2 linked regions of the Oryctolagus cuniculus genome follow. The protein of the gene in region 2 interacts with the protein of the main gene of each other region in a pairwise test. Links are inferred from orthologs where the notes say so. Each region holds a gene or a part of one and is shown on either strand. Other genes may lie near its edges.

Evidence for each region.
Region 1: the proteins of AIDA (region 2) and PINX1 interact in binary tests that used the Homo sapiens proteins (3 or more experiments, as listed by UniProt). The link is inferred for Oryctolagus cuniculus from reciprocal best matches to the Homo sapiens genes AIDA and PINX1.

What each region holds. Positions count from the first base shown.
Region 1 is NC_091433.1:43,680,085-43,689,240, reverse strand, and holds the start of PINX1 (PIN2/TERF1-interacting telomerase inhibitor 1), read right to left. Parts: upstream 4,613-9,156; 5' UTR 4,470-4,612; coding exon 4,451-4,469; exon of another isoform or gene 4,407-4,450; intron 4,360-4,406; exon of another isoform or gene 1,882-4,359; intron 1-1,881. UniProt on the Homo sapiens protein: Microtubule-binding protein essential for faithful chromosome segregation. Mediates TRF1 and TERT accumulation in nucleolus and enhances TRF1 binding to telomeres. Inhibits telomerase activity. May inhibit cell proliferation and act as tumor suppressor.
Region 2 is NC_091444.1:37,042,832-37,051,248, forward strand, and holds the end of AIDA (axin interactor, dorsalization-associated protein), read right to left. Parts: intron 4,037-8,417; coding exon 3,919-4,036; intron 3,793-3,918; coding exon 3,696-3,792; 3' UTR 1,972-3,695; downstream 1-1,971. UniProt on the Homo sapiens protein: Acts as a ventralizing factor during embryogenesis. Inhibits axin-mediated JNK activation by binding axin and disrupting axin homodimerization. This in turn antagonizes a Wnt/beta-catenin-independent dorsalization pathway activated by AXIN/JNK-signaling.

The sequences.
Region 1 (9,156 bases), on a different chromosome or scaffold from region 2:
ACAAAACAAGAATATGAGCCCTCAAAGTTCACAAAAGAATATGAGCCCTCAAAGCCAAGCACGGCCAAGTGAGAACGTGGAGGCGGAGCATCATCCTCACTCGCCTCCTGCCTCAGTGTAAGCACGCCACCTCACTCTGGACAGCCTGCTCCTGGGCAGTCTCATAATTAAAAAACAGCATGTCCTCTGGGCAAAGGGACTCACTGTGCTACAGGTAAAATCAGAGGCCCCTAACTACCCACGTCCTAGCAAGAATAAGACACGCTTTACCAGCGTTAGGCAGAAAAAGCCACTTAAAAGCAACAAGCTGGACTCAAATTTATGGCGTTGTCTAGGGAAAGGTCTCCCAGAAATGCTCCTCCGGGTAAGCTACCGCTTCATGTGGGCAAATAGGCGGCGCAACACGGGCCCTGCCGCTGCACGTCTGCGGAGCTCTGCCTAGCCGATGACCAGGGTCCTACGTGGTAGCTGGCTATGGGTGTGCCAGTGTTCAAGTCTCCATACAGTGCTTGTCCGGGCACTCTGAGGCTTGTCTAAGGCAGAGGGTTGAGAATGACCAAGCCCATCCTCTACTGTTGTTCCTAACAGTCCACAGCACTTCCGTGAGACACTGGCGACCAAAGGAGGAGGAGCTTTGCGTTAAAGTAAGAAGCTGTAGGGCCAGGCCAGCGCTGTGGCGCAGCAGGTTAAAGCCCTGGCCTGCAGCGCAGGCATCCCACATGGGCAGCCGGTTCAAGTCCCAGCTGCCCCACTTCCGATCCCGCTCCCTGTTAATGTGCCTGGGAAAGCGGTAGAGGATGGCCCAAGTCATTGAGCCCCCGGACCCTCATGGGAGACCCAGAAGAAGCTCCTGGCTCCTGGTTTCATCAAATCAGCTCAGCTCCTGTCATTGTGGCCATTTGGGGAGTGAACCAGCAAATGGAAGACCTACCTCTGTCTCTACCTCTCCCTGTAATTCTGTCTTTCAAATAAATAAATCTTAAAGAAAAGAAAAAAAAAAAAAAGAAGCAATAGAGCATGCAAATATGCAGATGCAGACCCTCCCAGAGGAGGGTGAGGCAGCCATGCCCTGATTTCTGACGGGAACCACATTTCCCAGGGATGTGTCCTGGCTTTGGTGTCACCTACATTTCCAGGAAAACAATTCTTAGCAAGAAGACAATCCCTGGTCCCTTCCAACTGGACTGCCTTTTACCTGTGCCTCGTTATTCCAGTGCCAGGGTCTGCTCTGTGCTCAGCTATGGGACAGAGCTAACACAGCAGTCCTGACTTCTACCCTTTGAGAGCCTTGCTTACAATGCTGGCCCTTTCCTGGGAACTTGATTTCAGAAGTGTTCCCCATTCACAGAATGGATGCGAGTGGCCTGTTTTTATGAGCAATTCAGTTTATGTTGACCACCTGTTCTTCTGGAAGTCTAGAATTTGGGTACATTCCAGGCCAACACTGCCTCCGTGAACCACTCCCTGGAAAAAACTCTGAACATGGAGAGTCGAGTGAGCATCCCTGGTTGACAAAATTCCTCATGTACTGTCACAGACTGCTCCTGCGGGCATCAAGTACATGGTGTGTGACTCCACTCCGAGAGGACTCTGGAAGCTTGTGCCTGGTCTCCAGTGGGCTGTGCCCACCTGTCTTGGGCTTGCACCGATGTTGCTCTGTTACCCTTCAGCTATGAATCTTAGCCATGTGACCAGCAAGTCAGTGAATGTGGGGGTGGCCTTGCAGACTCCCACACAACCTGGAACAGCAGTGTAGAGACAGCACTGGCCCCGGGGAGGGTCCTGAATCACAGATTTGGGATGATGTTTTTAACTGTGCTCTGGCAGGAATCCCTCCTACTCGGAGTCCTAACTGGGATGCATTTAGGGTGGCCCCAGTACCTAAGCCTCCATTCAGCAGTTGCAAGGGACATCACTTTTCAGTCACTCCGTGCCTGGTACTGCATGGCTTATGCAAAGACCAAGCTCGTTCTCAAGGCTGCTCTGCATCTCAAGAGCCAGGGACAGGCGTCTTCTTATTTTTCCAGACATTTTCAGATATTCAAGAACTCAAAATATATATCACAGATGTGTTCTTGTTGAAAAATTATTCAAAACACATTCAAGACTGAGGAAACTGCAACATAAAATTTTAAGGCAAAGAGCAACAAAACTCATTAGTGTTGTGGTCTGATTAGAAACGTATTGATTGCAAGTGTCAGGAATTGGTCTTAAAAAGGAGCGTATATGAAAAAAGAACTATCAACACACCATCTGGATCGAAAACAGCAAATTACATACACAATTTGAAGGTGAGAAATGAAATTCTTGCCTAACACAGGGGGAAGTTTGTTTATTTCCTGTCTTACGCATGGGAGAGACAACAAAACAGCATCTGGTAATTAAAGAAACACAGGCTAGGGGCTGGCACTGTGGCACAGGGCAGGTTAACGCCCTGGCCTGAAGCGCCAGCATCGCATATGGGTGCCAATTCCAGTCTCAGGTGCTCCTCTTCTGATCTAGCTCTCTGCTATGGCCTGGGAGAGCAGTGGAGGGTGCCCCAAGTCCTTGGGCCCCTTCCCCCATGTGGGAGACATGCAAAGGACATAGCATGTTTAATGAGGGGAAAATGTTCATTGTCTAATGCTAAGTAGCTGAAAAAAATAGAATACAAACTTGAATTACAGAATGACACGTTTTATAAGGTATCAGAGAAGAATTAACTGCTGGGCAGTGAACTCGCGCGTCTGCAATGTTTCTATTTCCTCTAAAATGAGAACACCAGGGCTGGGTGTTCGGTGCAGCAGTAACGCTGTCATTTGGGACAATGCTCCACTCCTGATTCCAACTTCCTACTGATGCACATACACCTGGGAAGGAGCAGGCGATGGCTCGGGTTGAGCCCCTGCCACTCATGCGGGACCCCTGAACTGGGTTTCCAGCTCCTGCCTCGGGCCTGGCCTGGCCCCAGCATCTGAAGAGTACCAGCAGATGCGAGCTCTCCAGTCTCTCCCCTGCATAACAGATAAAATAGAAACACCAATCCTAAACATCTTATCGCAGGGGATGCTGTAAAATAAATTCAGAAAATTATGAAAAAAGACAACTCAGAAGATTATACATCATCACGACAAAAATTTGGAAAACTTGGAATAACAGTTGGAGAAGAGAACCGAAAAACCCTCTTCAAGAGCGTGCAATCTGACTTACTAACATCTACAAATAGCACGTCACACCGGATACTGTGTTCATGTAACCACTTCATTAGTTTTTCAGCCAATCCAGGGAGAAAGTGATCAGAGAAACCATCAAGGAAACACACATAAATGAACAGCAGAGCCAGAGCCAATGTTTGCAAACGCAGGCTAAATGAAGCCCCCAGCAAAGGTTCACCAAGGACATGAAGAAATAACAGCCCACAGGGTCACCATCTAAAACACATTCCTTCCTATGAGTTCCCGTTTCAAAAGAGAAAATCGCTGGTCTTAGTGGCTAGAATGTAAAAATATAGACACAACTGCATCAGCTTTGCCACTTTTCAACTCAATGACTTGAGGCAAATCACTTTCTTCTGAATCTCAATTTCGGACGGAGCCTGATTTCATTCATCTGGTGCTCCTGGTCCTTAGGTGGTTCCTTACCTAATAGGCTACTGAGAACACTTATCTCACAAAACCCCCCGTACGGCTGCTGTTGGCCTGCTAACAGGGCTCGCTACACCGCTTTAGAAAGTTAAGCGCCAGCTTTCTGCGGCCGAAGCAAGACTGCCATCTGGCGGTGAGCAACCTTACTTTCAGCTATCGTGCAGAAGGGAGTTAAAGGACTTCTCTCCAGAAAGCGGAGTTTAAACGTCAAACGCACACTGAGGCAGTATGGGATGCTGAAGCTAAACCGCTAGTTATGGAACAATTCTAACCAAACCAAAACTGCCACAGTCTTAGAATCACTGCCTTAAGCCTGCACCGCCGCCGCCACCTGCCTGCCTCCCTGTCGCCCCCAAATACTAATTTCCTGTGCCAGTGGTTCTAACCCTTTAGCTTCTTTTTCTGGGTCCAACACGTCTTTAACAACAGGATTTCACTGCCTGGAGCGAGCCCTCTAACCCAACCTCCGTTTTTTATGCTGAAGAAGCTGAGCTCCGGGGAAGTGAAGCCTCAACCAGTGTCCCCACGACCGAAGGAGGCAGGGCCAGTTCCGGGACCCGGGGTCCTGACTTCCTCTGGAACCCGCCGCACGCGCCCCAGCTCTGAGTGTGCGGACAGGTCTCGAGGGGACCTCGCAGTCAAAGAGAAAGCAGACCGGCGGGTCGACTTTCGGGGCGAGCCAGAGATCGGATCGCCAGAGCCCAGCCTCTGATACCCCTGCCTCGCTGCTAGCCGGCCACCCACGTGCCCGCCCCTCCGGGCGTCCTGCGGGTCACCCAGCACCTTCACCCTCGCGCCCAGGTCGGGCCTCTGCGTTCTACACTCACGCTCCGCCAGCATCGACATGTTGCACAGCCTGTGACGTCCGCGCCTCCAGACCTGGAGACCGTGGCTGCCCGGTGCCGGCTCCGGAAGAAACTAGAAGTGCACAACTCTCACGCCGGGCAGTCGGCAGCCGCCCGGACGCATGCTGTTGGCGTCATCGGCGTGCGCCTCGCGCCCGCGACCACGTAGCGGAGGGGCGGGGCATCTTGGAGCGCGGGCGGAGCGACGAGGCTGGGGGCGGGAGCGCGGGAGGCGGAGAGAGGCGGTGCCTCGGTTGGCTTGAGCAGGTGAGCCACCTGAGGCTGGTTACACGCAGGGCTTGGTTGCATCTCTACGCGCTGAATGTCAACATGGTGCCTACTGGAAAGAAGACCTCCGGCCCTTGTAGCCAATTGGGAAGTGAGCCATCGGATGGAAGACTCTCTCTGCCCCTCCTCTCTCTGTGTAACTCTTTCAAATAAAAAATATATATATTAAAAATAAAAAAGACCTGGGCTCCACCTCCCAGCAGCTCGCCGTCTCAGAGGGCAAAGGGTTGGAGAAACTTGGCTGTGGTGCCCCACTTCTGGCCTCTGATACAGATGATAGATTGCATTAGGTGTGACTGGGTCCAGTATCTTTCTGTCCGCCTGTCTGTGGGATCCCAAGCTAAGCAGATACCTAATTCCCGGGGCAGGGGGGTGTCTCTGTCTAAACACCGGGGTGCCTTCACCAAGACAAAGGTTTTTACGTCTTTTCTCCCGGACAAGGTACACACTGGAGCTATGGTTTTGTCATCTCCACCTCTGTATCCTTGCCGGTATCTAGTCTGAGTCTGGTGGGGGCGCCATGTTTGCTTATGAACTTATTAAAGCACTCTCGTGTCTAGAGGAGTTCTAATCAACATGTCGGGCAGACAGGAAGGACTTGGTTTTAGACAGTCGTCTGTCCGTGAACTTCAGGTGGCAGGCGGAAGATGAAAACAGTACTGCCCAGGTGCCAAGAGCAGCTACGTTTGTTCTAAGTGAAACTCGGCGCCTAACTAGGAGTTTAGACAAACAACGCCAGCTTCTCTGGTTTTCTGGAAGTTAGAAGGAGGAAAGAACTGAAAGGGGTCAGAGGAGGCAGAGTGAATGGAATCTTCCCAGGCGAGGAGGGAGACTCCAGCAGGGTGCTGTCCTTAGGACGGCAGGATTACACACGTGGTGGGATCCGGGCAAGCCATTTTATTTCTACTAGAGGAAATGGACGATAGTTACCCTGCATGGAGGACACTGAGTTAGCACGCCTGTGCTTCGCACATGTTAGTCTGTGATTCCAGGAAGGTAGTTTTGATTCAAAGAGGAGCGGGAAGATTGGTGCAGAAGTTGCCGTGGGCCAGGTGACAGGCCTGTGATCCTGGGGGGCACTGCGAGTGTTGGGTGATGAAGATGTTGCCAGCCCTGGAGATGCGGTGAGCACTCTGCCCCGGGCCTGGAGATGCGGTGAGCACTCTGCCCCAGGCCTGGAGATGCGGTGAGCCGTCTGCCCCGGAAGTGCTCACTCAGAGCCATGGGGAATGATGCACACTGGACTCCGTCTTCGTGTGAACGCAGGATGGACTAAAGGTCTCCAATGCTTGTTCCAGTTCGTCATTCCCCTGTGCCTAAGAAGTATCCATGAGGATTATCTACTGAAGAGATGAGGTCTGGAATTTTTACACAATAACAGAATCTTACTTATATTTTGGATGATCGGCTCGGATCAGAAATCGCACTTTTTAAAGGCGATTCAGATAACACACGGAGTCTCCGCTCCAGTCTCTTGGAGGACTCCCTCGGGCCTTGCTTCCCCGTCATGGATGTGCCCGTGGGTCGCTCGGAAACCTTGCGAAAATATGTGTTCTGGGTGGGCGGGTCTGGAGCGAGCCTGAGGCTGTGCTCTGGCAACAGGTGTCTGAGGGCGCAGGTGCTGGGGAGCTGCAGCCCCCTCTGTGTGCTGGGCCATGACACCATCAACGGTGTGCGAGATGGTGGGGTTACAGTACGCTCTCTTTCCTGTTTAACTGAAGGTCTGGATGAAGAACACCTGTAGACGGCAGTGACAGACTCAAAGAACTGAACCTGGCACACGCTTATGTCAGTCCTCTGAGCTACTTCCCTGCCTTCAGGCAGGTAACGCCCAGCATCAGGAACCGATGCTTGCTACTTCGGTTCTGAGCTGTCCAGTGAGTGTGAATGATTCTCCCTCCCCCTCTCTCTGGCCCCCCTACACACACACAGCCCTACTCAGGGTGTTAGTCTGTTAGAGCTGCCATAACCAAATACTACAGACTGGGTGGCTTAACCAACAGTAATTGGCTTCGCACAGTTCTGGAGTATAGAAGACCAAAATCTGGGACTGGTGCCGTGGCTCACTTGGCTAATCCTCTGCCTGCGGCGCCGGCACCCAGTATGGGAGCCAAGTTCTAGTCCCGGCTGCTCCTCTTTCAGTCCAGCTCTCTGCTGTGGCCCGGGAGTGCAGTAGAGTATGGCCCAAGTCCTTGGGCCCTGCACCCGCATGGGAGACCAGGAAGAAGCACCTGGCTCCTGGCTTCGGATTGGTGCAGTTTGGCCGTGGCGGCCATCTGGGGGGTGAACCAATGGAAGGAAGACCTTTCTCTCTGTCTCTCTTGCTGTCTAACTCTATCTGTCAAATAAAAAAAAAAAAAGTCCAAAATCAAATGGCGAGCCTGCCTCGTTGCTGGTGAGGCTGTCTTCCAGGCATATACGTTCATGCTGTGCTCACCTGACCTCTTCTTGTGTGTGCTGAGGGGGGCAGGGACACAGGGAAAGAGAGAGACAGGGAGGGAATGCAAACAAATGCTGTAGCCTCCTCTCTTAAGACTTATGTATTTATTGGAGAAGCAGAGTTACTGACAGAGAGAGGGACAGAGAGAGAGAGAGAGGTCTTCTATCTGTTGGTTTGCTTCCCAAATGGCTGCAACAGCCAGAACTGAGCCGATCCGAACTCAGGAGCCAGGAGCTTCTTTTGGGTTTCCCACATGGGTGGGACTTCGGCCATCTTCTACTGCTTTCCCAGGCCATAGCAGGGGGCTGGATTGGAAGAGGAGCAGCCGGGACACCAACCTGCACCCGTATGGGATGCCGGTGCTGCAGGTGGAGGCTTAACCTACTGCACCACAGCGCCAGTCCTGGTGTCTCTAATACTCCTGTCAGAACATTAATTCTATTAGATTAGGGTCCCACCCTTATGCCTTCATTTAACCTACGTGACCTCCAAGTTGCAGGTCCAAATACAGGCGCCCTGGGAGTTAGGGCTTCAGCATGCTAATTTGGGAAGGGATTGTGCATTCCATCGTCAATAATTACAAAGCTGGGAAAAATACCTGAAAGAATGGTTTTCCAACATTGGGCACATGGCAGGAAGAACTGTGCTCCCTAAGAAACGGGAACAAAGGGTGAGCCTGGGGAGCACTTCAGACTGCAGTATAGCCAGGAGGAACCCAGCAGAAGCCCTCCCCCAGCCCCCGTCGCCCGGGAATTTTCAACCCTCTCTGAATATTTCACACTTCCTATGCGAGCTGCGCTGGTGGTAAGTACTTAGGCAGGTCTTTACAAAGTAACAGTGTCCTGCATGGTAACTGGCAACCTAGAGCCTTCCCAGTCTTAAACAAACCAACCAGATTTTACCTTTGACTCAATTTTTCTTTAATGCCGAGAGAGAAAACTGAAGCGACATAAGGCAGAAAAATGATACCCTGTCCTCTGATTGACTGTTGTATAAAAGCCATGCCTACACATTTCAAAGTGCACTGTGAATTTGGATGGAGTGGCCCATGCTGTGGCGGCTGCGGGAGACAGGGCAAGGCAGAGGAGAGCGTTCCATTTCCAATCATTTAACGCTAACTCTGGGCAGGAGTTTGCAGACACCGCGCAGACATCTCTTGGGACAGCCACACTCACATCAGATTGGAAGCTGGGTTCAAATCCTGGCTGCACTCCTGCTAATGTGCACCCTGGGAGGCAGCAGGAGGTGGCTCAGGTGCCTGGGTCCCTGCCACCTGGTTGGGAGATCCTCCTTATTCCTGATCTTGCCGTCGCCCAGCCCTGGCTGTTGGCAGGCATTAGGGGAACGCAACAGCAGATGAGAGAGCTTTTTATTTTGTTTCCCTGACTCTCAAATATATAAAAATATTTTTAAATGTATTACAGAAGCTATCTCTGTTGTGGATTTTTTGATTAGTCCTCTCCTGCTGCCTTACCCCACCCACATTCTGAATATTTCTCCAGTTGCCCAAAGGAGAACCGATGCAGCCCGCAGAAGTTTCCTGTTTCTGTTTATGACTTTGTCAATTCTCATGCGTAAGCTCCCAAAATATGCCGACCTGGTTGCCACAAGAATGGGAGGTGGTCGTTACAAGGATGCAGCCTTCAAATCTGGCTTTGGCGCCTGCAACTCTGTCCCCTCTCTGATTCGTCATCTGCCACTCCATTGGACTTGCTGGGAGGACTCACCAAGACAACACCCACCAGATGCTCCGTGGGGGACAGCGTGCTAGGACTGCAGTGCCCCCTGCTGTTCTGTCCTGAGAATTACAGGCAGACCAAGGGGCTGAATCCGCTCCAACCCCTATTTTTCACGTCCCACTTTGATCTTCCTCTGCCACTTGCCAGTTGTGACCTTGGACAGGTTGCTAAGTTTCCTATGCCTCATTTTCCCCAGTGCCCCTGCTGTTCTGTCCTGAGAA
Region 2 (8,417 bases):
CATGGCCGAAATGGAGGGGGCCAGGCTGGGCCAGGGCAAAGCCAGGAGCTAGGCACTTCATCTGGGTCTCCCACATGGGTGTAGGGAGGGGCCCAAGGAATTGGGCCATCCTCTGTTGCTTTCCCAGGCACATTACCAGGGAGCTGGATTGGAAGAGGAGCAGCCGGACTCAAACTGGTGCCCAAATGGGATGCAGGCATCACACGTAATGGCTTAACCTGTTGTGCCACAATGCTGGCCCCTTGATTTTAACTTTTAATGGCACATTTTAATAGGTTTAAAATTTAGATTAAAATTACCAAAGGCTGAGACTTTTGTCTACTGGTAGACTATGTTCTGCCACTCTCAGAAGTTCTATCACGTAATTGAAACCTGGAGCCTGACTTGTTACTGTTGTGATATTTAACCCACTAAGAATACTCTGTACAATGGAACAAAACTTTCACTGTGAAAAAAAATCATCTCTTTATCCTAAACTATGGAAAACAGTAGTCTAAAAGATGAGAACCTTTGAAAGAAGGTAACACTTTCAAAGTTCATAAAGAAGGGGCCAGCACTATGGCATAGTGGGTGAAGCTGCTGTCTAGAACACTGGCATCCCACATTAGGTGCTGGTTCCAATTCCAGCTGCTTCACTTCTTATCCAGCTCCCTGCTAATGTGCCTAGGAAAGCAATGGAGATGGCCCAAGTGCTCGGGCCCCTACACCCACATGGGAGACCCAGAGGAAGGTCTTGGCTCCTGGCTTTGGATGGGCCCAGCTTCAATCATTGCAGCCATTTGGGAAGTGAACCAGCAGATGAAAGATCTCTACCTTTTAAATAAATAAATCTTTAAAAGAAAGTTCATAAGAAATACCTGAGTTCTTCAGGAAAACTATTAAACATCCTATTTAATATCAACAATAGAAGAAATTAAATCTAAGAGGAAAACTCCACAGAAATAGCAGAGGTCATTTTAACCATGTAAACCAGAGTTGGGGAACATCCAGCCCGCATACTGTATAAGGCCCACAAAATCATTTGGTCAAGTGGGACTTGAAATTCAGTAAATCTATAACAGGCTAATTTTTAAGTTGATAAATTTGCATGGCCTGTGAATTATATTAGAAATACCCAGGTGGCCCTTGGCAGAAGAAAGGTCCCCTACCCCCGATAAATGAAGATTAAGTCAAAAACAGAACTTCTGGATCTCTCTTAATCTCTTTAAGGACACACAATAATGCTGATAATAGAATTTCTAGTTTTAAATGGCCTTTAAGTATAGATTTTGCCAGCCAGGAAGATAATCAAGTTGGAAAGGTAAATAAAATGTTTTTTCATTGAAAATAAAGGTTTTTTCCATCTCATTTTGTTTAAAAAAATCAGTAAGCTGTGAAGAGATTCCAGTGTAGCCTACCTGAGCAGTTCTGAGTCAGTCCACAGTTGCTGCCTTTCACATCCATCTGATGGCACCGTATCTCTGCCGCAAGGGTCAGAGCAGAGTGAGCTGCTAATGTACAAGTGGCTTAGGGAATACCAGTCCTCAGTTAAGTCAGACTTTGCCATCTCCAAAATTATTACAACTGTTTCAGAAGTCATTTCTAGCTAATTGTGTTTCTGGGTTTAGTTGCTAAAAGTGTCTCATTTATGAAGCAGCAGTATTTCAATGTAAAAGATTTCTATTGTAGTGTGGTTACAGTTAATGGCTGATTATTCTTCCTCACTGGAAAGCATACAAATAATTTGTGGGATGTGGAACACTCTGTGTCAACTGCTCCAAGATAATCACTCTTTTTGTCATTTCATTCAGGTCTGAATTAAAGCTAAACTAATCACACGGTGTTCAATTTAAGCTTCTTTAATAACTGATGAAAGGCATTTGTAGTTCATATAAACCATACTTAAGTGCAGGACAGCAGATGCTTCTTTATATATAAATTACCACTTTGATACACATCTTATGATCATGAGAAAAGAGAAAGAACAATGTATCAGTTTTGCTACATTTTAATAGTAGGATTTTTAAGGGATTATTTTAGGTCTCATCAGCAACATCAAACAGGTACTGAGTACTCCACAGGGTACAGAGTGCTGCCAAGCACCTAGGGAAATGTGTGTGACATGGAGGAAATACTGTTCTTGCTCCTTGAAGAGCTTACAGTTTGGGGATTTGACAAAAAGAATTCCTTAAGGCAAATTCTTCATCCTCTAGCCCTACTGTGGATTGAGTTACTTGAGAATCTGGAATTAATCCAATCAAGATGAGAGACAAGACTAAACTTGGTTGAGAATTCTTTCAGGCTCATATAGTCTTTATTAATATCCAACTAATAAACAGAATTGACCTAACAGACAACTGAAAGTAAAGACTAGATCTCTTGAAGTGCAAGGGCTAAAACAACTTAATTGTGATTACTTACTTCAAAAAGCAAACATATCGGCATGACTAGGGTTATTACACTAGTTTAAAAATAGGCCAAGTACTGAAATTGCATTCCCCTCATGCATTGTTCATTAAAATAGTGAATATTAAAATACATGGGTTCTATATCTAACCCACAGAGAGCCCATCACAAATTTTAATGTTCTGTGTATCAAATATCCACCTCATGTGTACTATGAAAATTTTATTTATGCCCCATTAAGTCAAAAGAAATGTAAATAGTAAAATTATAATAAGCTAATGACCTGCATATTCTCATATGGATGAATTCCAATATATCTAAATAGGAAATAAATGGCAATCCTATCTATCTATATTAAAAAAAATAGAATATCTTTCCAGATTTTGCATACTCATCACTATAAGAAGAGATATGCAGGTTTGAAGATTTCACAATCAGTTGTCAGAAAACAGCAGTTGTTCCTGCAATATCTTGTTAGCATCTGACTCAGCTATTTTTAGATTACATTATTTGGAAGACATTGTGAACCCATCTAAAAATTTAATTCTGAGATGGTTCCAATGTTAACCCTAGAATTGTTATCAGAAAGAATAACAACGTGATACAGAAGAATATCTAATCAACATGATTAAAAGTATGCTCACTTTCAGAAAAACAATCTGGTCATCTGGAAAAACTCACAGCTACAACCTGGGAAACACTCCCACACGGGGTACTGATCTGGCCAAGGCACACTATTTCTAAGCAAGAAAACGATCAGATCAGGTGAATGTAGGCCACCTCAAAGGAGCAGCCTATCATCTGCAGACAGACCTTCTTAGGCAGCATAACTGGTCCATTTTCTCTTAAAGTAGTTTGATACTATTCTACCCACCTCAACCCAAAGTTTGAAGTTAACTCAAACCAAAAGAGCATATTGGAGCAAAAGTGAACAGATGTGTATGTAAACTCTAGCACATTCTTATTGCTGTATTAAGTTCGAAGATGAGCAAACCTACCCACAACAGTATTTTTCCAGGAAGCAGGGTAGGAGTAGTGGTAACTTAGAAAACAGACTATTAATTGCACAATAGAAAAGTAAAAATATGTTTTCAAATCTACAATAAACCTGTATCCAAAGGAGTCTTATACATCAGTGATGTGCTAGACTTTGAATTCTGTGGTACAGCTTTGCAGTGGACTCACTCTGGCCTACTGGCACGGGTACAGCTTGCTTTCTGCCTTCTGAAGGGTGAATATGCTACACAGAGCTGTGATGGTTTCTAACAAGTGGCAAAATTCACAGAAGTTCCAGGTTATTCATGTCAGGATCATTCCTTGTGCAAAGTTTGATGTAGATGAAGATAAAGTGGTTTCTTGGTCAATAATTGCAATTTCTTTCTTTTAAAGTCAGTGGGTTTCTTGTATCTGTAACCACAATAGAAAGATCATTGTTTAAAATGCTTTGAGGATGGATTAAATACTTTTGAGTCCAAGGATACAGGGACTAGGAAAACCAACATAGCAGTCACCATTAAATGAGTACAGACTTACAGCTCTATTACAATTGGCCCAGGCTTAATTTCATCCATCTCCATGAAAGCAAAACATTTGGTGCTGGTAAACCTTTTTTTAGGCTTGTAGTGTTTGAATTCAAAGAAGATAGCTGCACCTAAAGTAATGAAACAAAATAAACCACATAAGCCAAGACAGCACATTTCTTATGTGTGAATTAAGTGGGTTTTTTGACCACCAGAAGCATTTCAGCAAGCAATGGTTTTCCTAAGTTTACAACGTAAGCTGTGTCAAATAGGCTCTAATGATGGCTCATGGCTGTCACCTCAGACTTCTGAATCTGAGTAGTATGACATTTCCACACATCAACCAACTCTATACAGTACAGCAAAAGCTCCCCAAGTTACACTGACTCAAGAATGTATATGGGGGCCAGCACTGTGGTCTAGCAGGCTAGGCTTCTGCCTGTGGCACTAGCATCCCATATGGGCACCGGTTCATGTCCTGGCTGCTCCTCTTCTGATCCAGCTCTCTGCTATGGCCTGGGAAAGCAGTGGAAGATGGCCCAAGAACTTGGGCCCCTGTACCCATGTGGGAGACCTAAGAAGCTCCTGGCTTCCAATCGGCCCAGCTCCTGCTGTTGTGGCCATTTGGGGATTTAACCAGCAGATGGAAGACCTTTCTCTCTGTCATTCCATCTGTAACTAGCTCTCAAAAAAAAAAAATCTTTAACAAAATGTATATGAACCACTAAAGCCAGCTATAGTGACCCAAGAACGTATATAAACCACTAAATGTAAAATATGAAATACCACAAGAAAATCCTTGTCAAGTATTAGCAATACCCATTGAAACTCATAAGTGGAAAAGACATTTCTAAGAGTTCCTAAAAAAAATTCAGGTCTGAACCATTTTTCTTCCTCTTGAAATAAAAACTCAAAAATTCTGTTTTGGGGGTGTTAGGAGTTCAAACATTAGTCACATGCTGGTTCAGTTATAAAGTTACGAGTTTCCTACTGCATTCTGCAGTGTGTAAAGCACCGGCTTTTGGCTTTTCCCACCTGTAATGACATACATGCATCTATGAAAGGAACAGGTCTCAAAGGCAAGCCTATTTCATTCTCCTCCAGTGAACTAGTGATAATGAAAAAAATCAGACAGTTCTATGTCCCCAAAGCCCAAGAGATAAGCTCTCATCCCACCCCTGCAGGAAAAAAAAGCTAAAAAGAGAGATAAACTGCCTCTCACTAGAGTAGCCAGGAACAATTAAATTTTTTTTTTTTTACAGGCAGAGTTAGAGAGAGAAAGAAAGGTCTTCCTTTTTCTGTTGGCTTGCCCCCCAAGTAGCTGCTAAGGCTGGCACATTGTGGCCAGTGCGCTATGCCGATCTGAAGCCAGGAGCCAGGTGCTTCTCCTGCTCTCCCATGCGGGGGCAGGGCCCAAGCACTTGGGCCATCTTCCACTGCCCCCCCCCCCCCCCCCGGGCCACAGAAGAGAGCTGGACTGGAAGAGGAGCAACCAGGACAGAACCGGCACTCCAAAGCCAGCAGGTGGAGGATTAGCCTAGTGAGCTGCGGGCCCAGGAACAATTAATTTCTAAAGAAGGCATGGACGGGCCGGCGCCATGGCTCACTTGGCTAATCCTCCGCAGTGGAGGATGGCCCAACTGCACAGTTCCTGCCGTAGCAGCCATCTGGGGAGTGAACCAACGGAAGGAAGACCTTTCTCTCTCTCTCTCTCTCTCTCACTAACTCTGCCTGTCAAAAAAAAAAAAAAAAAAAAAAAAAGAAAAGAAAGAAAAAAAAAAAAAAGGAAGGCATGGAAACTGATGAAAGTCAGGGTCTTACTCTTAACTGGCTTTTTCTTTTTTCCTTTTCTTTTCCTTTCTTTTTTTGACAGGCAGAGTGGACAGTGAGAGAGAAAGACAGAGAGAAAGGTCTTCCTTTGCCGTTGGTTCACCCTCCAATGGCCTCCGCGGCCGGCGCGCTGCAGCTGGCACACCGCGCTGATCCGATGGCAGGAGGCAGGTACTTATCCTGGTCTCCCATTGGGGTGCAGGGCCCAAGCACCTGGGCCATCCTCCACTGCACTCCCGGGCCACAGCAGAGAGCTGGCCTGGAAGAGGGGCAACCGGGACAGAATCCGGGGCCCCGACCAGGACTAGAACCCGGTGTGCCAGCGCCGCAAGGCGGAGGATTAGCCTAGTGAGCCACAGCGCCGGCCTTAACTGGCTATTTCTAATATGTCCATGTAACCAGAAAGTGTGGGAGAGGCTGGATCCGGAGAGGCCTAGAACTTCCTAAGCCTGCCTCGAGTTTGAAGATCTGTCTTTAAGTTTCAAATCCCTGGGGGTAAACAACCCAGTCCCAGGGCGCTTTGCCTAAGGATCACTGAGGTGGTATAACAGGAGTGGCTAAAACCCTTTTGCGTCACATCAGCTCACCCCTTGCCCGCATCTGCTCTGTACTGCAGCTTTATAAACACCTCCCTTTTACAATAAAGTGAGATCCTGCTTCGACTGGATTCCCCGCTGTGCCTGATTGTCCCCTGGGTTCAGGGAGGCTGAGTGGCGGGTGGCGCACTTCCCCTCCTCAGCCAAGACAGGCTGTAGGCAGCCTGCCTAATTCTCTGGCGGTGAAAAGGAAGAGTCACTGCAAGAAAGGTGCTAGATCTTGGCTTTTAAAGACAGTCAACATATATATACCTAATCCTTTGAGTGGTAGTAAAACTCATAAGTGACCAGAAGTTCAACAACATTCAGAAATGCATGTACAGCCCTAGCACTGAGGTCCAAACCAAGCACCTCACCTGGCAAAAATGGAAATTAAAACCAGGGGGCCTGCATTGTGGCATAGTAGGTTAAGCTGCTATCTGAAATGCCAGCATCCCATATGGGCGCCAGTTTGAGTCCCTGCTGCTACTCCACTTCTGATCCAGCTGCCTGCTAATGTGCCTGGGGAAGCAGTAGAGTATGGCCCAAATGCTTGGGCCTCTGCACCCAAGTGGGAGACTTGGACAAAGCTCCTGGCTTTGGTCTGGCCCAGCCCTGGCCATTGCAGCCATTTGGGGTGCGACCTAGTAGATGAAAAATCTGTCTCTCCCTCCCCATCTCTTTCAAATAAATATAAAACAAATCTTAAAAAAAAAAAAGGAAAGAAAAACCAGTCCCTTGGGAGACAATGAAAGGTAAGTGAGGGAGAGTCTCTGCTCGAAACACACAGGCTTACAACAGTTAGGTCACTGGTGAACTCTTTCCTAGGTGGATGACCTGCCACAGCCACGAGAGGGGGCTCTCTTCTCCCTCCCACAGCAGTACGAGAGTATTTGATTATTTAAAACCATCAGAAATTTTAAAGACAGATCACATTACTTAATCTTCTCAGATATGAGACCCATCTTAACATGATCCTGTCCGAGGTCTAAACAAACGTGAAAAGAAACGCACGTTTGAAAACAGGTCCAGGCTCACTAGGCTAATCCTCTACCTAGCAGCGCCGGCACACCGGGTTCTAGTCCCGGTCAGGGCACCGGATTCTTTCCCAGTTGCCCCTCTTCCAGGCCAGCTCTCTGCTGTGGCCAGGGAGTGCATTGGAGGATGGCCCAACTGCTTGGGCCCTGCACCCCATGGGAGACCAGGAGAAGCACCTGGCTCCTGGCTTTGGATCAGCGCGGTGCGCTGGCCGCAGCGCGCCAGCCGTGGCGGCCATTGGAGGATGAACCAACGGCAAAAGGAAGACCTTTCTCTCTGTCTCTCTCTCTATCCACTCTGTCAAAAAGAAAGAAAGAAAGAAAGAAAGAGAGAAAGAGAGAAAGAGAGAAAGAGAGAGAGAGAGAGAGAGAGAAAGAGAAAGAGAAAGAAAGAGAGAAAGAAAGAGAGAGAGAGAGAGAGAGAGAGAAAGAAAGAAAGAAAGAAAGAAAGAAAAAGAAAGAAAGAAAGAAAGAAAGAAAGAAAGAAAGAAAGAAAGAAAGAAAGAAAGAAAGAAAGAAAGAAAGAAAGAAAACAGGTCCAACTAGGGTTTCCATCCTCTTGAGGAAGTTAAAAAATGTTTATTCATCTGCATCATCTGTAAACAACAACTTTCTTGCATTCTTGGTTTGTGTGGCCATATACATCATGCTATTTATAAAACAAAATGTGAAGTCAGAATATCCTGAGATTAATTGAAATGCTTATAAACCAGAAAGTCTGCTCACTATCATCAGTATCATTTAAAACAGTAACTCAGTTTAAAGCTAGGGACAATGAATGTTCAAATCCCAAATATAGTGCAATTTGTTGTCAAGAAGGAACACAGTGTAATAGAAAAGTTAGCTTGCAAAACACTCCACCTTCTTTCCTCCACGCCAAGACATTTCTCACAGCAATGGAAATAAATAAATGGGAAAACACTGTTAACATTTTGATTCAGAAGACATATGTCACACTGAGATTTCTCCAACATCGTCAAGCACCTCCTGTTTGCATACTGTTCTAACACGGTCACTCAAACTTTGGCACATACCAGACCCACCAGGAAGGATTCTGGGACTACTGAGGG